4 linked regions of the Mus musculus genome follow. The main gene of each other region encodes a partner of the protein of the gene in region 3 in a complex. Links are inferred from orthologs where the notes say so. Each region holds a gene or a part of one and is shown on either strand. Other genes may lie near its edges.

What was found. Proteins that work in one complex are often made in the same cells at the same time.
Region 1: Osgep (region 3) and Tprkb share a complex: the UniProt entries of both Homo sapiens proteins name them as parts of the EKC/KEOPS complex. The link is inferred for Mus musculus from reciprocal best matches to the Homo sapiens genes OSGEP and TPRKB.
Region 2: Osgep (region 3) and Gon7 share a complex: the UniProt entries of both Homo sapiens proteins name them as parts of the EKC/KEOPS complex. The link is inferred for Mus musculus from reciprocal best matches to the Homo sapiens genes OSGEP and GON7.
Region 4: the proteins of Osgep (region 3) and Lage3 are in contact, whole or in part, in a crystal structure (PDB 6GWJ), measured with the Homo sapiens proteins. The link is inferred for Mus musculus from reciprocal best matches to the Homo sapiens genes OSGEP and LAGE3. Residues at the interface, in NP_060277.1 of Homo sapiens: Arg50, Ile53, Leu54, Asp55, Leu57, Gln58, Leu61, Gln69, Ala84, Val87, Ser88, Val91, Val92, Arg94, Thr95, Val96, Gln98, Leu99, Trp100, Asn101, Leu315, Ser318, Gly319, Val320; in NP_006005.2 of Homo sapiens: Glu76, Ile77, Gly80, Ser81, Leu82, Pro84, Asp85, Asp125, Gln126, Leu129, Val130, Arg132, Thr133, Met134, Arg136, Phe137, Gly138, Pro139, Pro140, Val141, Arg143.

Annotation. Positions count from the first base shown.
Region 1 is NC_000072.6:85,914,392-85,918,519, reverse strand, and holds the start of Tprkb (EKC/KEOPS complex subunit Tprkb), read right to left. Parts: upstream 2,802-4,128; 5' UTR 2,730-2,801; exon of another isoform or gene 2,606-2,729; intron 2,550-2,605; exon of another isoform or gene 2,413-2,549; intron 1-2,412. UniProt on the Homo sapiens protein: Component of the EKC/KEOPS complex that is required for the formation of a threonylcarbamoyl group on adenosine at position 37 (t(6)A37) in tRNAs that read codons beginning with adenine.
Region 2 is NC_000078.6:102,755,010-102,759,153, forward strand, and holds the start of Gon7 (EKC/KEOPS complex subunit GON7), read right to left. Parts: upstream 2,802-4,144; 5' UTR 2,737-2,801; coding exon 2,532-2,736; intron 1-2,531. Other genes in the region: Gm20604 (AK010878-Moap1 protein), read right to left, coding at 2,532-2,736; putative E3 ubiquitin-protein ligase UBR7, read left to right, coding at 3,020-3,169. UniProt on the Homo sapiens protein: Component of the EKC/KEOPS complex that is required for the formation of a threonylcarbamoyl group on adenosine at position 37 (t(6)A37) in tRNAs that read codons beginning with adenine.
Region 3 is NC_000080.6:50,922,088-50,926,221, forward strand, and holds the start of Osgep (probable tRNA N6-adenosine threonylcarbamoyltransferase), read right to left. Parts: upstream 2,807-4,134; 5' UTR 2,692-2,806; coding exon 2,577-2,691; intron 1-2,576. Other genes in the region: Apex1 (DNA-(apurinic or apyrimidinic site) lyase), read left to right, coding at 3,183-3,237, 3,430-3,617, 4,074-4,134. UniProt on the Homo sapiens protein: Component of the EKC/KEOPS complex that is required for the formation of a threonylcarbamoyl group on adenosine at position 37 (t(6)A37) in tRNAs that read codons beginning with adenine.
Region 4 is NC_000086.7:74,351,661-74,354,928, reverse strand, and holds Lage3 (EKC/KEOPS complex subunit Lage3), read left to right. Parts: upstream 1-1,310; 5' UTR 1,311-1,401; coding exon 1,402-1,604; intron 1,605-1,926; coding exon 1,927-2,055; intron 2,056-2,430; coding exon 2,431-2,545; 3' UTR 2,546-2,767; downstream 2,768-3,268. UniProt on the Homo sapiens protein: Component of the EKC/KEOPS complex that is required for the formation of a threonylcarbamoyl group on adenosine at position 37 (t(6)A37) in tRNAs that read codons beginning with adenine.

The DNA of each region.
Region 1 (4,128 bases), on a different chromosome or scaffold from region 3:
GCACAGGGGAAAAATTCCTAAACAGAAAGCAATGGCTTGTGCTGTAAGATCAAGAATTGACAAATGGGACCTCATAAAATTGCAAAGCTTCTGCAAGGGAAAAGACACTGTCAATAAGACAAAAAGGCCACCAACAGATTGGGAAAGGATTTTTACCAATCCTAAACCAGATAGGGGACTAATATCCAATATATACAAAGAGCTCAAGAAGCTAGACTCCAGAAATTCAAATAACCCCATTAAAAATGGGGTTCAGAGCTAAACAAAGAATTCTCACCTGAGGAATACCGAATGGCTGAGAAGCACCTGAAAAAATGTTCAACATCCATAATCATCAGGGAAATGCAAATCAAAACAACCCTGAGATTCCACCTCACACCAGTCAGAATGGCTAAGATCAAAAATTCAGGAGACAGCAGATGCTGGCGAGGATGTGGAGAAAGAGGAACACTCCTCCATTGTTGGTGGGATTGCAAGCTTGTACAACCACTCTGGAAGTCAGTCTGGAGGTTCCTCAGAAAGTTGGACATAATACTACCAGAAGATCCAAAAATACCTCTCCTGGGCATATACACAGAAGTTCCAACTGGTAATAAGAACACATGCTCCACTATGTTCATAGCAGCCTTATTTATAATAGCCAGAAGCTGGAAAGAACCCAGATGTCCCTCAACAGAAAAATGGATACAGAAAATGTGGTACATTTACACAATGGAGTACTACTCAGCTATTAAAAACAATGGATTTATGAAAGTTTTGGACAAATGGATGTATCTGGAGGATATCATCCTTAGTGAGGTAACCCAATCACAAAAGAACTCACATGATATGTACTCACTGATAAGTGGATATTAGCCCAGAAACATAGAACACCCAAGATACAATTTGCAAAACACAAGAAAATCAAGAAGAGGGAAGACCAATGGGTGGATATTTCATTCCTCCTTAGAATAGGGAACAAAATACCCATGAAAGGAGTTACAGAGACAAAGTTTGGAGCTAAGAGGAAAGATGGACTATCCAGAGACTACCCCACCCAGAGATCCATCCCATAATCAGCCACCAAACCCAGACCCTATTGCATATGCCAGAAAGATTTTGCTGAAGGGACCCTGTTATAGATGTCTCATATGTGGCTATGCCAGTGCCTGTTAAATACAGAAGTGGATGCTCAGTCATCTATAAGATGGAACACAGGGCTCCCAATGGAGAAGCTAGAGAAAGCACTCAAGGAGCTGAAGGGGTCTGCAACCCTATAGGTGGAACAACAATATGAACTAACCCGTACCGCCAGAGCTCATATCTCTAGCTGCATATGTAGCAGAAGATGGCCTAGTCAGCCATCACAGGGGAATGCCAGGGCCAAGAAGCGGGAGTGGGTGGGTAGGGGAGCAGGGCGGAGGGAGGGTATAGGGAACTTTCAGGATAGCATTTGAAATGTATATAAAAAAATCTAATAAAAAAAAAACAAAAAAAAGAACTATGTCAAATGTTTTCTCAGCATCAAATAAAATGATCATGTGATTTTTTTCTTTGAAAAAAAAAAAAAAAAAGAGTCATGTTGACATTTAGTTCCCGATGTGTGATATTAAACGGTGAGGCCAAGTATGGAATTAAGAAGGTGGCTAGGACTTTGTACTAAGAGATAAAAATAAAAAATAATTAATCCGCTCATATCACTATAAAGTTAATAGTTTACCTCAGGGGCAATTGGGGCCTTTGAACTCAAAATTTTGTTTTTTGGGTTTTGTTTTGCTCTGCCTTCCAAGTGCTGGGATTAAAGGTGTGTGCCACCGCTGCCCAGGTCAAAATTTTGTTAATCCAGTTATATGATTATCAAATAAAGGCTTCTATCTCCAAAGCGATTCTATTACAAATGAAGTTTGCCTAGCCTCCTAACCTGCTCCCTGGCTTGAGGCAGACGCTGGCAGATCTCTGAGTTTAAGGCCAGCCTGGTCTACAGTATGAGTTCAGGACATCCAGGGCTACACAGAGAAACCCTGTCTAGGAAAACACAACAAAACACCTCACCCACCATGAGGTACTGTGGTATTAGCAACAGGAGGTGGTCTAAGGCTTCTCACGTCCAGTGTCCACGTTCTGACTCTATATCCACATCTCTCCTGACTCATCCTTGTCACAAGCACTGCCATCACCTCTTATCAATAACACCTTAACAGCGTCCTCATCCGGGCCCTGTCACCAGTAATGCAATTCTAGCCTATCCCAATGGTCACGGGGTCCTTCAGGAGGAAGTCAGGCTGAAGCTAAAGCACTAACTATGTCACTGGGACCAGCATGTAGTCTGGACCCTGCCTGACTCCTCTCCAACCCGGATGGCATGGCCTGCCCTCGGCTTAGGCTGGTCAGGCTTTCCAACAGGGCGTCCCTACTACCCTCAGGGCTTCTTGCCTGGGTCCCTCCTGCCAAGGCCGCTCGCTGGCCCGGGTAAAGCCTGGGGTGGAGGCGACTCCGCTCTCCGCCGCGCCTCCCTCCCAGCGCTGGGCCTGGCTGTGGCTGTGCGGTCCGCACGCGGCTCCTCCAGCCTCAGCCTCGGGCATCGCCTGCAGGGGGCGCCCCGGCGCGCGCAGCCGAGCGGCCTTCCGTCCCGAGCCGCGCTCCTGAGACCATGTCGCTCTCCACCGGGGCTCGCGACAAACACGGGCAAAGGCACGCGTACTTCGCCCGCAAAACTGTCCGCAGGGAAAGAGCAACAGGGCGGAACTCACCCTGCATCCTACGCCCGCATCAGAAGATCGTCCCCTAGGAAACTTAGCTCTCTACTTCCGGAAGTGCTTAATGTTTGATAGGTGGGCGGGCGCCGAGGCGCCCAGTTTCCGGTGGGCGTGCTCCTGGCTCTAAAATGGAAGTGGAGCGGACTCCTAGTACCGCTAGAAGCTGCTGGCGGAGGACAAGGAGAACTAACTCTAATTTGTCCCGGCTTCGGAGGTGGAAAAGCCCCCACTGGTCGGGCCTAGAAGCTGAGGTATGGTGTTGTCAGCCCTGTTCTTAGCCTGTGTTGAACACTCTTTTCCTGTGAAAAAGAAAAATATTCACCAGGATGGGAGTCACAATTTATCAGAGCTTTCCAGACTCAGTTTACCGAGTATGCTCTTGGGTGGAAACGGGGATCTGGCGTGGTTGTGGCTTACATTGAAGGAGCGCTTCCGGTGCTTGGAGATCTAGAGACAAGTGGACTTTCACAGCTGTGACAGAGGAAAGAGGCAAATTTCTTGAGCAGACCAGAGGACGCGACGCTGGGATCAAGTCCCCAGAAGCCATCCGCCTCAGGGAATTATACAAGACCAGGGTACTGCTCACGGGGAAGGGTGGCCACCAAGATAGTGAGTCCGGATTTTAGTCCTTGCTACCTGTCAAGAGAACCCAATGAATAAAGAGCTTGAATCTTAAAATTAGTTTATCCAGAGAGAACCTGCAGTCTGAAATAGTAGGTTAATTACCCTACAGACATGCATTCCCTGCCATCTTCACCCAGCAGAATATATAAGGAGGAGATAGGGCCATAGGCAAAGACAGCCAATAATCCTGGAGCTCCGTTTTGTTTTGCCTCTCTGGCCAGATGGTCAACATGAGGACACTTCTCATATGATGTTTGCTTCTTACTTTCTTGGCTTTCTCCTCGTCTGCAGGTGTTTGGACACAGGCACATTGGAACTCAGAATCTAATTAATTTCTACTGATAATCGACCTTACACCCCTACAGAGATACCTGGGAGGTTAATTCAAAACAAATGAGAGGGTGTCCGTTTCGTTTCCTTTCCTCAGTGTGAAGTACAAGTGTGTCTTCATAATCCAGAATATGAAAGTGTCCCTATCTGTCCCCAATCATTCTTCACTATCAGTAGCAACTCTGAGATCTGTGTCATATGAAAGATGACATCCTGACACCGTGCACCTGGTTGGTTGTCGGAATGACTTCTTTTCTTGTAAGAGAATTCTCTGGCACAAAAAGATGTACATCAGAACATACCATATGTAGCAGGAGCAGCTGTGTCTTGGAGTGAGAATTTCTGAAATATGCTTTGTTCTGAAACAGATATAGACAATAAAGGTCTGAACCAAAGTTAGAAGACAGTGTCAGGTAGCCACATATAAAACCATTTCTCT
Region 2 (4,144 bases), on a different chromosome or scaffold from region 3:
TGGGGGAAGTGGCTCAGAATAGCTTAGAAAGGAGATATTTGCCCAGCTCTAGTGCATTAAAACTGTATTATATCCCCGCACTCAGGAGGCAGAGGCAGGCGGATTTCTGAGTTCGAGGCCAGCCTGGTCTACAAAGTGAGTTCCAGGACAGCCAGGGATATACAGAGAAACCCTGTCTGAAAAACTAAAAACCAAAAACCAAAAAAAAAAAAAAACCCATATTATTACATATTATAAAACAGTAATAGAAGTCTTTTAATCTGAGAACTAAATGATCTAAGGTGGAGTAGAAACTCCTAATTTATTACAACCTATTGGCACCCAACATAGGGTATCATTTTGTAGAAGTCTGATTCCAGTTCCTCCTCCTAGACCAATGCTCCCAGAAATAAGACTCAGACTCAAAATATATATCCAAATACCTTGGCCATACAGCTAGGCTCTTCTCTAACTATATAATTAAGATAACCACTTTACACTTCCACCAACAATGTGGCCTGTCCTATCTTAGAATGACAAGTAATGTCAACTTGCCCAGCCCAGGTGAAAAGATATGGAGGGAAGCTTTTGTTTTTTGCCTGCTTGCCCTCACTGACTATCAAGTTCATCTATCCTGTTACTGAGAGGCCCAAGATACTCCTTTGTTGGTGTTAGAACCTACTCTTTAGGATTCCAACATAGACTGAAAACTGGCAGCTCTCTTAAGACTTTCCAGGAACTCCAGTACATGATTGGGACTGTTGAGACATCCAGTCTCATGGACCAAACAACTATCAGATGCTTAGCCTTTCTGTCAGGAGACTGCCAGTTTTGGGCTACTCAGATCACAGGCCATAAGCCATTCTAATAAATATCTTTATATCACACTTATTCTATCAGCTCTGCTCCTTTGAAGAACCGTGAATAATACATCTAGCTAATACTTTTTATTGTTTCTTTAAAAAAATTATTTATTATATGTAAGTACACTGTAGTTGTCTTCAGACACACCAGAAGAGGGCGTCAGATCTCATTATGGATGGTTGTGAGCCACCATGTGGTTGCTGGGATTTGAACTTGGGACCTTTGGAAGAGCAGTCAGTGCTCTTAACTGCTGAGCCATCTCACCAGCCCCTTATTGTTCCTTTTAATGACAGCCAATAACTATATTATAAAGAATACGGAAGTTTAATCTCCTCTGCAGAAGAATTGACTCCTTAGCTCAGAACAATGAAACATCTATCTTGGTGTTCAATTCAAGATTAGAAATAAATGTAACAACAGTGGAGTGTGGTGGCATATTTCTTTAATTCCAGCACTGCTGAGGCAGAGTCTGGCAGGTCTCTGCAAATCCAAAGCGAGGCTGGTTTAACCGTTACATGGTGACAATGTCTACAAAATAATTTTATTCCTATTAACAGAGCTAGGGCTGGAGAGATGGCTCCGTGGTTAAGAGCACCACCTACTTTTCCCCTGCATGTACGAGGCACCCTCTTGACTATCTGTAACTCTGGTTCCAGGGGATTTGATGCCCTCTTCTGGCCTCCGAAGGCACTGCACATAAGAGGTGTACAGACAAGCATGCAGGTAAACATCCATCTTTAAAAGCAAACAAACCCCAAGCCACCAAAATTAACAGTTAATTTCTACAACAGGAGAGGGGGTGAGAGAAAGTAAGAGGACGGGAAGGGCTGTAGTGCTTTCGGACATTATATAGCCCTTAAACTCTGGCAGCACAAGATGGCAACGTAAACATTCCATCAAGGAAGGGGGGGGCTCATGAGGCGCCACCCCTCTCAGAGGAGCGGTTGGCGGTTAATGGGGGGCGGGGGAGTCATTGTTTTTCTTCAGTGGTCTAGTCACTGCTGTGTTGCCCTAGTTCCAGTAAATATCATACAAATATCCTTAAATAAATCCAGTGACAAAAAAAGGCCGGAAAGAAAGGCGAGGAGCCCTGTCGAGAAGGGTTCAGCGGGGGATAGAGACCATGACCTGAATGCATTAATACATGAATGAAACGATCAATTAATTTAAGAATACCAAAAAGCTAAACTAAAAAGAACTCTTTTACTTTCGAAACAATAGCTACAAAACTGAGAGGGTTAAGATTCCCTAAAACAAAGTGGGCCTCGGTCATTCGAAGCTCTCCTCATTCTGTCAAACACGTTTTCTCGTTTCTAATTTCACTCCTTTCCGTTTTTCAACAACCAGGTCTACCTTCCCGCCCTTTCGGGTCTTCGTGCCAGCTAGCAATGGTTACAGACCGCCACTTTCTCTGCCTATCTTAATCCTTTGCGTTCTTTGCAAGGGAGTCAAGCTGACTTCGTCCGTTGACCAGTCCCTAGTCCAACGCTCGCCACGGTTTTTTTTTTTTTTTTTGGTGGGAAAAGTCGCAAAAACGGGGGGCGGTGGGATATCAGACAAAGAGGGCAGCGAGTTCTAAGGATTTTTAGAAGCGATTGCTCCTCTTCTCCGGGGCTCGCCTTCTCTAGCCTGCCCTTCACACTGCCCGGTCCCGCCAGTGTCCCCCGGCGCCCCGCCCCCGCGCTCACCATCCAAAGCGTCGTCCGGATCTTCCGCCAAGCCTTGCGCGTCCTGCTCCACTAGGGTCCCGAAGAACTCCGCTACCAACTCCTTCATCCGGACCACGCCCGCCGACAGGCTCTGGAGAGGGTCCGCGTCTCCCGACGCCTCACAGGACACTCGTAGCCGCTGCGGCTCCCCGTCACAACCGACGTACTCGCCCGAAAGCTCCATGGCGACCACTCAGCTTCAACAGCGCGCCTCGGAGAAACGCCACCCGGAAGCGGAAGCCAGCCTGCGGCCGGGGCGGGCGGGAGAGGCGAGGAGGAGGAGGAATGACTTCCGATTTCCCGAAATTGGCCCGCCCATTTTCTTCCGTGTCCTTCCTTAGGATTGGCTGTCTGGTGCTCGGGCTCCGCCTCCTCACGGGGCCCCGCCTTCTCGCGACGCCCCTGGCGGCGGCCACTTTTCCCGCCTCCTCCTGGGCCCACGCAGCGGAGCCCGGTGACAGTTGAGGATGGCCGGAGCCGAGAGCCCCACCGAGTGCCAGGCGGAGCTGGAGCCCGTGGTGTCGCTGGTGGACGTGCTCGAGGAAGACGAGGAGTTGGAGAATGAGGCGTGCGCCGTCCTGGGCGGCAGCGACTCGGAGAAGTGCTCCTACTCGCAGGTGCGCGCGGCCCGGCTGCTCCCGCCGTCCTGTCTGTTTCCCGCTGGCCGCGGCCGGGCCCACTCACGGCGGCCCTTTACTCTGTGCTTCTACAGCCCCGGCCCGGCTGCCATTTCATCCTCAGCTTGTCGCCACCAGGGCTGTCCCTCGGTTCCGCTGATGGTACACTGCAGGCTCCGGTCCTCCAGTTGTCGCCTCTTGGTGGCCTGCTTTTCACGAGGTTGTTCTCGTGATCTCTCAAACCCAGATATTCTTCGCTCCACTTCTCCCACCGCCCAAGAATCTTAATTAGGGACCAGATGGGGAAAAGTAAAGGGAAAGTGGGCCGGCTTTGAAAATCTTCCGGTGAGGTTCGGCTTCCGGACACTCCTGTAGTCTAGTTTAACTGCTAGCTGCCCCCACCTCACCCCCTTTCTGGTTAAATGAAGTTTCGTGTGTATGTGCTATGTGACATCCCCTCTCTCTGGGGACTGGAAAGCCAAGAGGAGAAAAGGATCTGTTTGGCATTTGTGGGACCTTTTGAACGAGAGAGTTTGAGGGGCTGAGATGTAGTGTTTAGTGACGCATACTGTACATTTAAGTACTAACGTGGAAAAGGGTGGGTAGGAAGGAAACTTAACAACAAGGATGAGAATTGGTGGAAGGAAACAGGCTAACTATGCCCATGGGTGGAGTGGGAGACTGGGGTAGGAGTGAAGGGACTTGGAGTTATGGTGTGGCGTGGACTGAAGTCATAATACTAGTTGTCTTCGTTGACCAAGTTGGGTTTGCACTGTAAAATTGTTGAATAAATCTTGTATCCCAGAAGTAGTCACAGCATGGTCGCTGGTATTTAAATTTGGAGGATCATTGTTAGGTTTCAAACCCTGGACTCTGCTGTTGTGCCTATTTAACATATCAAAGCCGATGGTGGCCTCCTGGTTCTCCCTGCCCTTCTGTCCCTTCCGGGACTCTCCTGGCAGACATACCCAATCC
Region 3 (4,134 bases):
AAGTTCTTAGTCATCAGGGAAATACAAATCAAAACAACCCTGAGATTCCATCTCACACCAGTCAGAATGGCTAAGATCAAAAATTCAGGTGACAGCAGATGCTGGCGAGGATGTGGAGAAAGAGGAACACTCCTCCATTGTTGGTGGGATTGCAAGCTTGTACAACCACTCTGGAAATCAGTCTGGCGGTTCCTCAGAAAATTGGACATAGTATAGTATAGTACTACTGGAGGATCCCGCAATACCTCTCCTGGGCATATATCCAGAAGATGTCCCAACCGGTAAGAAGGACACATGCTCCACTATGTTCATAGCAGCCTTATTTGTAATGGCCAGAAGATGGAAAGAACCCAGATGCCCCTCAACAGAGGAATGGATACAAAAAATGTGGTACATTTACACAGGGAGTACTACTCAGCTATTAAAAAGAATGAATTTATGAAATTCCTAGGCAAATGGTTGGACCTGGAGGGCATCATCCTGAGTGAGGTAACACAATCACAAAAGAACTCAAATGATATGTACTCACTGATAAGTGGATATTAGCTTAGAAACTTAGTATACCCGATATATAAGATACAATTTGCAAAACACATGAAACTGAAGAAGAATGAAGACCAAAGTGTGGACACTTTGCCCCTTTTTAGAATTGGAAGCAATCACCCATGGAAGGAGTTACAGAGACAAAGTTTGGAGCTGAGACAAAAGGATGGACCATCTAGAGACTGCCATATCCAGGGATCTATCCCATAGACAGTCATCCCAAACGATGACACCATTTCATACACTAGCAAGCGTTTGCTGAAAGGACCCTGATATAGCTGTCTCTTGTGAGACTAGGCCGGGGCCTAGCAAACACATAAGTGGATGCTCACAGTCAGCTCTGGGATGGATCACAGGGCCCCTAATGGAGGAGCTAGAAAAAGTATCCAAGGAGCCAAAGAGATCTGCAACCCTGTAGGTGCAACAACATTATGAACTAACCAGTATCCCGGAGCTCTTGACTCTAGCTGCATATGTATCAAATGATGGCCTAGTCGGCCATCACTAGAAAGAGAGGCCCATTGGACATGCAATCTTTATATGCCCCAGTACAGGGGAACGCCAGGGCCAAAAAGTGGGAATGGTGGGTAGGAGAGTGGGGGGCGGGGGTATGGGGGACTTTTGGGATAGCATTGGAAATGTAATTGAGGAAAATACGTAATAAAAATAATATTAAAAAAAAAGAAGTAAAAAACCAACAAAGACACGTTTTAACGATGTAGAAAAACATACTCTACTTGCCTAGGTTTTAAGACATCCTCTTTTCTTTTTTTTCTAAAGATTTATTTATTTTATGTATGTACACTGTAGCTGTCTTCAGACACACCAGAAGAGGGCATTGGATCCTATTATAGATGGTTGTGAGCCACCATGTGAATGCTGGGAATTGAACTCAGGACCTCTGGAAGAGCAATCAGTGCTCTTAACCACTGAGCCATTTCTCCAGCCCAAGATATTCTCTTTTCAAATCTCTACTTTTGAGACAAGGTCACAACATAGGACAGCCTTAAACTCAGATCCTGTCGCAGTCTCCCAGGTGTCACCATTACAGACTGCACCACACACTCTGTTAGCTTTCCAACCTCTACATAGGCTACTGGGGTTTCAGAGATGGTGCTGGTCCACACACAATGTTCAGGAGCAATCTGAGTTTTACAAACTTCCTACTCTTTGTTAACTTTTCCTGTAATTCCATAGAACCCTATGAAAGGTCATATCGTTGGACTTAACATATGATAACTACAGCACTACAACTGTCAGTAGCTTCCCTTTAACCACACGTATCTCAGCCTCTGTGCTTTAGAGCCTACAAGAGTGAGTCCTAAACACACATATATTTCTACTATGTAACCTGAAACATTTCACCTGCTTAGGGAGCCTTCAGAGGTACATGCAGGTTATATGTGTGTGCAAGTTTTGGGAGAGGGTAGGCAAAATACAACTTGTAACTATATTGAGAGTCGTGCAGTGCCTGGTGCTTTTCACATAACTGTCCAAACCCACTGATACCCATTTCCATTCTAAAAGTACCGAAAAACAGACACCTAAAACAGATCGAAAATACAGGAACTCCTCCAGCTTTCCCTCCTCGTTGTAGATTACTTTTATATTTATCACGGTGCAGTGTAAACCAATCTCTATGTGCATCTACAGCGCTGCCTCGGAACACATATTTTCGGATGCTTAGCTCATTAAAGTTGCTCGATAAAATCAGAATACAACCGGGGGTAGTGGCTCATGCCTTTAATTCCAGCAGTCAAGAGTCTACACAGCAAGTTCCAGGTCAGTAAAGGTTACAAGGAGAGACCCTGTCTCAAAAAAATGCATGAAAAAACCCAAAAACAAAACCTGAACGAACCCACGTGACCTAGCCCCAGGTGTCTGACTCTTCTAGTCAAAAGTTACCAACCAAACGCACAATCAGGGGAGTCTGGAGTGGGGAAGCCTGTAAAATCTGACATAGGCAACAGTGTGGAATATCGGACAGAACAAAACTGGACAAGGAGCCGGGAAGCGCGGCCGCAGCCACTCACCGGTGCCCGGGGCCGTGACGTAAGTGCGCCGCGGGTTCGCCAGCACCGTGCCGTCGCGGACCACGCCCACGCCGATCTTGTTGGCGCTGCCTTCGAACCCCAGCACCGCGGGCATGGTGCCTCACGGCTCCCGGTCGTGAGGCCGAGTGACGAGCTGTAACCGGCACTACCACGAACAACCCAGAACCAAGCGAAGGGACTTTCGGGCGCCAGAAGTTATGTCACGAGGTGCCAGGAGGACCAATCATCGCGCTCCAGAACCACGTGGGGGCGGAGCCCTCGAATCACGTGACCACACCAATCGCCCACGTGGGAACAGGCAGACTCCATTCTTTGTGCCGTGAGGGTCTCTGGCTTCGTTGGGAGGTCAGGTACCTTGTTCTAGCGCGTTTCGCGACCCTGCTCGCTGAAGGGCCTAACGCGGGCGAGGGGCTGCATTGCTCGTGGCGGGCCAGGCCGGAAGAACCGCAGCCCCGGGTGTGCAAACGCCTACGGGAGGCGCCTCGCTGCCTCTCCTTGTGTTTTGATTTCATCGTTTCTTATCTGCAGGCAGCGCAGTAAACACTGCTTCGGTGCTCCAGGAGCCTAAGGGCTTTCGTCACAGCGATGCCAAAGCGGGGAAAGAAAGCGGCGGCCGACGACGGGGAAGAACCCAAGTCGGGTAAGCGTGCCCAACCCCACCCCCCAGGCAAGTTCAGGGCTTTACTAGACCGCCATGAATTACGGTAAATATGGACCAAGTTACGTTGCTGGGTTCCGAGAAGTTTGTGTAATTAGAACGCCTAATGAGGTTAGAGTTAACTCTGGCCTGAGGTTGGAACTGCCAGCTCTTACTACTTTACCCATTTTATAGAGCCAGAGACCAAGAAGAGTAAGGGGGCAGCAAAGAAAACCGAGAAGGAGGCCGCGGGAGAGGGCCCTGTCCTGTACGAGGACCCTCCAGATCAGAAAACCTCACCCAGTGGCAAATCTGCCACACTCAAGATATGCTCCTGGAATGTGGATGGGCTTCGAGCCTGGATTAAAAAGAAAGGTTTGGATGTGAGTACAGTTCAGAATCGGGAAGTAGACCTTTCTTGGTTGACTCGTCTTAAGGACCAATCATCTTGTTTCCTTTGAAACGTTATTTTTCGCGTCTGTAGATGCCCCCCCGGGGGGTTGGTGGAGGGCTCCTAAAAGCCTATATAAACCCCAACAACTCCCTCATTTCATTTTTTAAAAAAACTAGTCTAGACTGTTTGCCCCCCCCCCCCCCGCTTTTGGGTTACTTAGCATATCCTCAATCCCAGTAACTACTTAAGATCCAAATGGGAGCGAGCGTTCTGCAGTTGACAGCACATTGTGCTTCCGAAGGTTCCAGTTAGGTTTCCAGCACCCCAGTCAGGTGACTAACGGACACTCACTCACATACAAGATTTGTTTATATTCTGCTGCTCGAATGCCTTCTGTGTATAGCATGTAGCACATAAAATTTTAATTTTCCACATTTCCATTCAGTGGGTAAAGGAAGAAGCACCAGATATCTTGTGCCTCCAAGAGACCAAGTGCTCGGAGAACA
Region 4 (3,268 bases), on a different chromosome or scaffold from region 3:
GGGCTTTTGAAGGTGTTCAAGGAGAGGAGCTGGAGCTGCTTCAGTAATTAAAACTTGCTGCTCTTGCAAAGGACCTGGATTCAGTTCCCAGCACCCACATGACAGTTTATAACCACCCACAACTCCAGTTACAGGATTCACATAGATACCAGGACCTGCACACAGTAGGTGCACTTATATACAAACAGGGAAAACACTCAAACACATACAATAAAAATAAATACATTTAGCTGGGGTGAGGGTTGTGTTTTAATCCTGGCACTCAGAAGACAAAGGCAGGAAGATCTCTGAGTTTGAGGCCAGCCTGGTCTACAGAACAACTTCCAGGACAGCCAGACCTACATAGAGTCTCTCTCTCCTCTTTCTCCTCTCTGTCCTCTCTGTCCCCCCTCTCTCCTTCCTTTCCCGATCCCTCTACCACCACCCTCAACAGGGCCTCACTATATAGCTGTCCTAGAACTCACTATGAAGACCAGGTTGACTTCAACTTCACAGCCACCTGCTCTGCCTCCAAAGTGTCGGGATTAAAGGCATGTAACCCTGGCTAAGAGAACTTATCTGGAAAAATAAAGAAACCTCTTGCTTGCTGATACTCAAAATCTCATTTCACTTCATTTGTTTGTTGATGGGGTTTTCTGTTTTGTGACTGCTTTTGAGATGATATAAATATGTAAGTCTGGATAGCCTAGAAGTGGTTATGTAGATCAGGCTGACCTCCAACTTAAGCAAAGAACTATTCCCACCTCCTAAATCAGTGGTTCTCAACCTTCCTAATGCTGCAACCCTTTAATATGTTCCTCATGTTATGGTGACCCCAACCATAAAATTATTTTCATTGCTACCTCATAACTGTAATTTTGTTACTGTTATGAGTTGTAATGTAAATATCTGATATGCAGGATATCTGATATGTGACCCCAACTTGGGTCAACCCACAGATTGAGAACCATGGTCCTAAATGCTAAGATTTCTTCAGGCATCACCACACCAGGCCACTTGACAGTTTTTTGGTTTGATAGTGTTTTGGTTTTTGTTGTGGTTTTGTTTTTTAGAAAATATCACCTTAGGTCCCTTTTAGGAAACTGTAGGGACAACTTGGCATGGTGATGCACTTTGGAGGCAGAAGCTGACCAGATCAACCTATAAATCCCTGGAGAGTCCTCCTGCCCACCCCCACCCCCCCCCCCCACCGCTCCTCCCCGCCCCGCCTCCCTCCCCCCCCCCCGCCCCTCGCCCCTCCCCGGCCCCACCACCTTCCCCGTTCGCGCAGGCGCGTGTGGAATGGCAGCCTGTGCGAGGGGCGGAGCTTCCGGAGGATAAGGCGGGTTCTGGGCCGCAGCAATGGCAGAGGCGGCGGGCTGGTAACGCGAAGGTGGGTTGAAAGGAGGAACAGCAGCAGACATGCAGACAGCACACACAGGTTTAAGCCACACTGCAGATGGCGCCGATGGTCAGACTAGCCGCTGTTGTCCTGGTAATGCAGGCACAAAGGCAGTTATTCCCAGTGGAGCTCACCCTGTTGCAAGAGCACTGGAAGCCTCCCGAAATTCCAGCAAAAGCATGGTGCCTTTAACCCAAAGGCCTGGAACCCGACATCACAGATTGTATCCTACCGGACATGGACATATCTGCGGGATGCTTGAAACAGGGAAGCGGGTAGTCTGGAGGAGGGTAAAAAAAGAAAGAAAAGAAAAGAAAAAAAAGCAGGGAGGAGGGAAGCAGAGGGACCCGCTGATTGGGGTATGGCCTGGGCATGAAAAGTTCCTTGACAACAGAGGAGGGGCAGCAGGGTGGAGGGAAATGAGCAGGAATGGCCCAAGCAATGTGGAAGATATAGCCTGGGGAGCTTAGACCAGATGCGATGATTTTAGAGGGGTAAGGAGGCAAAGTTGATTCAAGATGGTGCCTTTCCTGAGTCTCTACCAGCTCCCTCTTCGTGCCTTTCCCGACCTCTTTGGAGGCAGAAATCGCCTGTGGGTCCCTAGTTCCAGATGTCGAACCACATCGAGGACTGGTAGGGAAGGAGCTTAAAGTGAGCGGCTGCATGCTGGAGGTGTAAGTGTTGAAAGAGTCTAGGATGCTGGGTAGGTGTCTGGGCCATCCTCCACCCTAGGCTGCACTTCCTCAGAGACATCATCACACTAGAGTGATTTTTAAGGAAAGGCATGATGCACTGGACCAGTCTAGTCTCTACCTGCAGTACAGTGGATGCCTGACAGATGAAGAAAGGGTAGGAGCCAAGAGAAAGGCAGATGGTCTGATTACTGTGAGTTCCAGGCCAGCCAGATCCACATAGCAATCCCTAAGCCAACCATGGCTACATAGTGAGAGATTTTCTATCTATTTCCAAAAAAAAAAAAATAAATAAAAGGAAAGAAATAAGGGTAGAAACTACCAGTTTGAATTTGATGTTCTTTTCCTCACTCTTAGACGCTGGATCGCGGAAGATTCTCGCCTCCTCCGACTTTCCATCATCAACTTTCTTGACCAGCTTTCCCTAGTGGTGAACACCATACAGCTCTTTGGGCCCCCAGTTTCCTGTTAAGCCTGGCTGGGGACCCATGTCTGACCTTATCTCCGTCTCCTCCTAAGCAATACAATTTTCCCTAGGGAAAAGATTCTAGAAATAGTAACTACTACATAAATGTGGGGGCCTAATATTTTTTTCCTGATTTGGTCCTCAGGCACTTAGGAGCCATTTGGTCTGGTGCTTCAATGTTTGTTGCTGAAGAAAATAAAGCTATGTTGCTAATCTGCATTTGAGCTTATTTTCAGCCTCTAAATTTTCTTTGGTTTTTATTTTGTGTTGGAGGAGGGGCTCTGGAATTCAGGTGGTTTCTTTTGTTTGTTTTTTCTTTTCTTTGTTTTAAAAAGATTTATTTATTCATTTTTATGCATATGAGTACACTATAGCTGTACAGATGGTTTTGCGTCTTCATGTGGTTGTTGGGAATTGTATTTAGGACCGCTGCTCGCTCCGGTCAACCCCATTCGCTACGGTCAGCCAGCTTGCTCCAGTCAACTCCGTTTGCTCAGTCCCTGCTCACTCCAGCCCGAAGATTTATTTATTATTATACATAAGTGCACTTTAGCTGTCTTTAGACACACCAGAAGAGGGTGTCAGATCTCATTACGAGTGGTTGTGAGCCACCATGTGGTTGCTGGGATTTGAACTCGGGACCTTTGGAAGAGTGGTCAGTGCTCTTAACAGCTGAGCCATCTCGCCAGCCCTTTTTCTTTTTTTTTAAGACAGGGTTTCTCGTGTAGT